2 linked regions of the Nothobranchius furzeri genome follow. Each later gene encodes a partner of the first gene's protein in a complex. Links are inferred from orthologs where the notes say so. Each region holds a gene or a part of one and is shown on either strand. Other genes may lie near its edges.

Region 1 (2,895 bases):
CTATCCTCAGACATGTTAAAAGTACATTTGCAGTTTCTGTCCACCTAACATAACATTAGGGACACTGTCTAGTGTTAGACTTTTCACAATTATAACTGTATCTCTGTCATTTCATTCATCAATAGAACAAACTGAAGGTGGCAAAACATTTTAAACAGGGAAAACTCATTATCTCAGTATTTCATTAACGTTATGAGATTTGTGAGAAATGTCAATTTCTTCTCTGGTTTCTATCTGAAAGCACTAATTGAATCCCTGATATCATAAAAACAACAATTGAATTATTTTCTCACAATAATTACTCTGTTGTAATGTACCTCTTCAAATGCCTTAGGTAACTGTGAGGTTTTGTTTATCATATTTTTCTCATTTTGCTCCTGCCATGAATGTAATTGCTAGGCTGGCATGCCATTCTAGATATGTACATATATTCCTTTAACCCAAATTTCTCCACTGTGGATAAAGGGATTTTCTATTTTTCTATCGGAACTAGATTAAATGAAAAATCTGATTTGGTTAAATTATGGTGTGAATTAACAAGTACTTTTAATAGATTATTTTTGTTCCCCATCTACAAGTGAAAAAGAACTCCACAAAAATAGAAACTTTTTATCCAATTGATCACTTCCACTTTTATCAAACCAAAACATTTACATGTCTCATTTTATTAAGCAAAAGCAAACAACAACAAATTGAGTAGTCCATGAGAGGAAAGTCAAAGATCTGAGGGTTATTTTTGCGTGATGGGGAATGAATTCTGGTCCATTAACTCCCCAACTCTCTCCTGAAGAGTCTGGACCACCTCTGCCAGGATAAAAACGTGTGTGTCGTCAAGATCCTTGATGATGAACTTCTTTCCTAAAGCCATGGTTTCATCTAGGTAGAGGAGAAACTGTTTCATAGCAGGATCACTGAAACAGAACATGGAGAGGAAAAAGACATTATAATTGTAGGAGTTTTCTACAGAAGAAAGTAATTTTACAGTTTTCTTCACTCTGAAGTTCCTTACCATTCAACAAGAACACCCTTGTGAACATTCACCATGATGACAGGTGTAGTTGATTAAAGTCTGCAAAATAAACAAAACGTGCAAAAATGTTGCGACAGTAACATAAATACTGTATGCATATACAACACATATTCATACCGGACAGTTAATGTACAGAGAAAATTCATGAGAAATAGTAAACAAGCTAAAAATAACAAGCTAACAACGTATTTTGCAACACTTTTAAGCAAAACGTTCTAATTAAAACTTACCACAACAACCACAATGTTCGGGAGAACACTAAAGTTGGTAAGAAATCGTGTAAAACTACTCGTTCAGACCCAACAGCAGCTGCTTTTTAAGCTAAGTTCCGTAGCATTGAGGTAAGATCTACGGCGAGCAACCAGGGACAATCTTCCTCTACCACTATAGCATTGAAGGATGCGCATTTTTGCCACTTCCGTTTAACATGTTCTTCCACGCTATCTGGTACATTTCACGTAATTATCTGCTTATATTATAACGATTTCACTGTGATTTTTGAAAAATTGTTATTAAAAATATTTGACGCTCCTGTGCTTTACTCCCAGCCCAATTCCACCAAGTGATCTATAATGCAAGATTTCTGAACAAACGTGTACGTGTATGTACATGCATACATACATATGTATACATGCGTACGTATGCATGTGTGTGTGAGTATTGCACATGTACATTTGTTTTTAACTATTTTGCAATGGATGCTTGTTAAATTACTTTTTGTCAGATTAAGTTAGAAAATAAACACCAAACGATTTCCATTTAACAATTCTGTTGTATTCAGTATTTTAATACATCATTTAATGAATGCATAGACAAGTCAAACTCAACAAATGTACTCATTCATTTGATTTATTCTCATTTCTAGTATATGTTGGCCCATTGTGATGCATAATTAATGTAATAAAATTAATAGAGTTGACCTAATATATTAAATCAGGGCCATTTTAAAAAAGGCTTGGCAAATAATCCATTTGGCACAAAAAACAACACGTTTCAGTAGAATGAATGAATACAAAAATAACATTTCAACCATTACTCTGATCAAAACTACATAGAAGCAGTTTTTAAAAATGCATCTTTAAGTAAATATATATTTGTTGTGGCTGCAAGGTCTAAAATGGAAAGATGGTGGTACTTCTCATAATATGAGTTTACTCGAAACATGACTTTGACCGGTAAAAATGAAAACATAAGGGAGGAAAATGTAAAAAGATAACAAATCAGAGGTTCGGGTTTATCTATCACAGTTAGTAAGTGTGTGAAATAAATGTGTCTGCATTATGATTGTTAACATCTCACATTATGGTTGTAAACGTGTACAAAAAGAGGTTTGGGGTTTTGAGTTTGTTGGTGGAAGGACTCAGTGTTCCTCAAACTTCAAGTAAACAATTTAATGTCACTACTGATGTGCTTGTATGTCTTTTATTGGCTTGTGTATCTCTGGAGTGCTTCCTGGATGAACTGGAGGCTGCGTCTGTAGAGAAACGAGTCCTTCTTCTCTGGTTTGCAGATGTTCAGGTGATCCACATCCACCTGAATGAGCTCTCCGATGCCCAGATCTGGAACAAAACGAGAGATTACTCAAAAAGAGAAGGTAAGAAACTGGATGACAGATTTTTATTATTTTATCAAAAGTATAGCTCATTGACTTTTCCCCACTGTATCTTACATACCTGCTGACTGAGTTGGGACCACAAATATCTTAATCATAGGACCAATATTTGTGGGCAACGTCTCTGCAAAGCTCAGCACTTTGATTTCATTTTCTTTGGCAATTTTCAGAAAACCCTCATTCAGGTTACGCAGAGCTGGGGAGTCTTTGAACACACAGACATCGACTCATTGCAGACAACAAACTATTTAAT
Region 2 (3,401 bases), on another chromosome or scaffold:
TTGTGCTGTCCAACTCATCTTCGTTGTCTGGCAGTGTCACGGTTTTCCCAATAATCACGTCCTCTCCGGACACACGAACACCAGGAGCAATGAGACCGTCGTCGTCCAGCTTGTCATAGATGGCGTGTCTCATACCTGAGGACGCATTAAGTGTCGTAGCTTTAGAGTGGCTCTCATGGCAGACACTAAAGCCTGAACCTGGTTCTAGAGTAAAATGTCCCGCCAGACTCCAGAGCTGTTGGGTTATGAGTCCAGAATCACTTCTCACCCTGACAGGTTTCACGAGTCGGCTTCTCAAAGATCTCTTCCTGATCAAAACCTTTCTTAGACTCCTGCTCTTTGTAGGATCGATAAAAAACAGACCTACGTGGAAACAAAGCATGACGTAAAGAAGCAACACAAACACTCAGCTCAGAAGAAACTGCTACGTGTTCCTGGAACTCACCTGAAGAACCCTCGGTCTACAGCCGACCTGTTCATGATCACAGAGTCCTCCTGGTTGTACCCGGTATATGAAGCAATGGCAACTATTGAATTGATCCCTAGAAACAGAAAAACACCATCAGAGAAGAGCTGTCAGCGAGGACAAAACTTCTGCTATGACCTACAAACTAACCATCAAATCTAATCAACTGTAAAAACCCGGCACTTTCAGTTAAAACTAAAGAAGTTTCTCAAGTGACACTGTGTCTTGGATGAATCTACAACTAAACTAATGGTTTCGTTTGCTGATTTATTGTTCTCCAGAGCTTAAAAGTAGCTAAAGAGTCCAGAATAAGTTTAAATAGATGTCTCAACAGTTGGGTGTTTGTCTGATGGGAACAGCCATGACTGGAAACACCCGGGTTACCTGCTGGCAGTTCTCTGAAGCGCAGGTACTCCATGGATCGAGTGGTGACCAGTGGTTTCTGAGGGTAGTACAACACGTGAGCCAGCGTGTCCATTCTCACATGGAAGTTGGTGATGTAGACGCCCATGGCCTGTTTGCCCATAGCAGATTGGTACGTGTTCCTGGGGGACTGAACAGAAACCAGACATCTTGTTTAGTCTGTGCAAGACACATCAACCTCATCAGGCCATTTTCTGTGCTGCTAAACTCTGATCTGGGCTCTGTAACCTTAACTTATCAAACACACAGCTGTCCTCTTAGGTTTGCTGCAGAAATTAAAACAGAGGCAGCGATTTCGGGGCATCCTCCACCAGAGAACCTTTATCTATTATGTCAGAAAGTGTTGGCCATGCTGCTTCGCTAGATCTGATTCAACGAAGCTTTCCTCTTTAAGATCATCAACCTGATCATTTCATTTTGCAGCCAGAATCAAACGATGTTTTGTTGGAACCTGGTTGTGATCCGGGAACGGGATGATGGAGGCACACACTCCGAGGATCATAGATGGATGGATTTCACAGTGGGTGTACGTCGAACAATAGGCCACGCCTTTTTCCTGAAGGTCATCGGGGGTCATGGCGAGCATGACAGTTTCCTCCTCCAGCGTGTCAATGTATTCCACTACACCACTCGCCACCAGGTCCTGCCAGCTGATCAGCAAAACAAACAATGTTCAAGAAAGTGCACGAACGCCAGTCTGCACACCCGTCAGCCACCCCTCACCTGTAGTTGTTATATTCTCTCTCCTTCAGCTGGTCGATGTGTCGTCTCTTCAGCAGAAGTTTCTGCTTCTCTACAATCAGCAGCGGTCTGCAAATCCTCCCGGCATCCGTGTAAATCCTGATCTCACGTTCTCGAATGTCTCTGATCATTGATACCTGGAAGGATCAGAACCACCCAGAAGCAGATGAGAGTGATCATCACTTGGTGAGCAGACTGATATCAGACTGTTTACGACTTTAAGCCTTCAGTTATGTTTATTATTAATAATAATAATCATAATTACGTCCAAATGTCATATTTCCCATTTTACTTTAGCAGAAACTCAAACTAATGTGTTTTTGGTTCATTTACATAATGTCTCCTGTCTGGATGTCGGAATTCCCTCTGGGATCAAAAGTGTTCCAGAATTACGTCTGAACCAAAAAATAAACCTCAATGCAACTTTTCTCCTGTTTGACTGAAATCTTTAAATCTAGAAAATGGACAACTAAAATCGAATAATGTCCCTACATTGTGAATGGTCTCGGTCTTCAGAAAGTCTGAAGTCTCAGTCTGGTAAATCCAGCTGTTTATGTTTCAGCTCCTAGCATGCAGATGTTCCTAAAGCAGCCTTTCCGGTCAGAACTAATGTGAATGTAACTGTCCACACCTCAGACACAATGATGTCCATTTGTCGGCGGAGCTTCCTCAGCGTGTTCATCAGCTGCTCGGGGTCTTTGTGGATTCCGACCCAGCAGCCGTTCACAAAGATTTTAGTGGCACTGAAGAACAGGAAACACAAACATGAATGGAGTTTGAGCGATTATTGACGTGAATAAAATCGCTCAGATTCAAGCAAGGGAACCAACTCAGCGATGGCAGCAGGGGAGATCTCCTCCAGGTTCTCCATGCTCCACTCCTCCAGAAACTCCAGGATGGGTGACGGCTGCGAGCCCACAGAGATGTAGGCCATCAGGGCCAGGTTCTTCACCAGACCCACAGCATGACCCTGCAGGCGGTGGAAAGGTAATTATGATATTTATCACCAAGACCATAACGAAACATAAGACTCTGACCTGGTGTGGATTTTACCTCAGGAGTTTCAGCTGGACACACCATGCCCCACAGAGTGTTGTGCAGCTGTCGAGGCTTTGCCAGTTTTCCATCTCTGCCGATGGGAGAGTTGACTCGACGAAGATGTGACAATGTGGAGGCGAAGGTGAGACGGTTCAACACCTTTGATTTCAGGTTAGAGGAACCCAGTTAGACTTAGAGAACTCGAGGGAGAGCTGATTCCACAACAAACATCTTGGATCTACAAAACCAAACAGCTGGCATGGAGCCAAGCATCTGTCTCAGGTGAGACAGGTATTCTAACCTGAGACACTCCAGCTCGAGCCTGGTGAGCCTTCTTAACGTCGCCCCAGTTTCCTGTGGCCAGCGAGTACTTGAGTCCATCTGAGATGATACGAGTCTTGATGGCGAGCTCCAGGTTGAAGTCTTTTCCTCTATCGATGAACTTCTGAGCATAAATCCTGATCTCCTTTAGAAGGTTCTTAAACATCCTGAACAGAAGAATTCAGAGTTTAGCTTAAAACTGTCCAATCAAAACAAAATCCTACCTAAAAAGTGAAAACATAGAAAGCGATTCCCTCAGCTGATTAAGCCCGTTTCTCATTTTTTTATCATTTTAAATGCAAACTAAAAGAAGTTGTTTCACAATTATAGCCTTGTATCAGCTGAAGGACTGGAAGCTTTTAGTTTGAAACAGACAGGAAATTATGAATTTTTTTTTAATTAGAAACTGATG

Evidence for each region. The genes of interacting proteins can lie anywhere in the genome.
Region 2: gtf2h5 (region 1) and polr2b share a complex: the UniProt entries of both Homo sapiens proteins name them as parts of the TBP-based Pol II pre-initiation complex. The link is inferred for Nothobranchius furzeri from reciprocal best matches to the Homo sapiens genes GTF2H5 and POLR2B.

What each region holds. Positions count from the first base shown.
Region 1 is NC_091742.1:2,693,606-2,696,500, forward strand, and holds gtf2h5 (general transcription factor IIH subunit 5), read right to left. Parts: upstream 1,401-2,895; 5' UTR 1,261-1,400; intron 1,070-1,260; 5' UTR 1,045-1,069; coding exon 1,010-1,044; intron 912-1,009; coding exon 731-911; 3' UTR 596-730; downstream 1-595. Other genes in the region: protein SERAC1, read right to left, coding at 2,453-2,589, 2,704-2,847. UniProt on the Homo sapiens protein: Component of the general transcription and DNA repair factor IIH (TFIIH) core complex, which is involved in general and transcription-coupled nucleotide excision repair (NER) of damaged DNA and, when complexed to CAK, in RNA transcription by RNA polymerase II.
Region 2 is NC_091741.1:64,309,213-64,312,613, reverse strand, and holds part of polr2b (DNA-directed RNA polymerase II subunit RPB2), read right to left. Parts: intron 3,157-3,401; coding exon 2,970-3,156; intron 2,828-2,969; coding exon 2,684-2,827; intron 2,601-2,683; coding exon 2,461-2,600; intron 2,374-2,460; coding exon 2,262-2,373; intron 1,768-2,261; coding exon 1,613-1,767; intron 1,540-1,612; coding exon 1,341-1,539; intron 1,020-1,340; coding exon 851-1,019; intron 543-850; coding exon 446-542; intron 364-445; coding exon 269-363; intron 136-268; coding exon 1-135. UniProt on the Homo sapiens protein: Catalytic core component of RNA polymerase II (Pol II), a DNA-dependent RNA polymerase which synthesizes mRNA precursors and many functional non-coding RNAs using the four ribonucleoside triphosphates as substrates.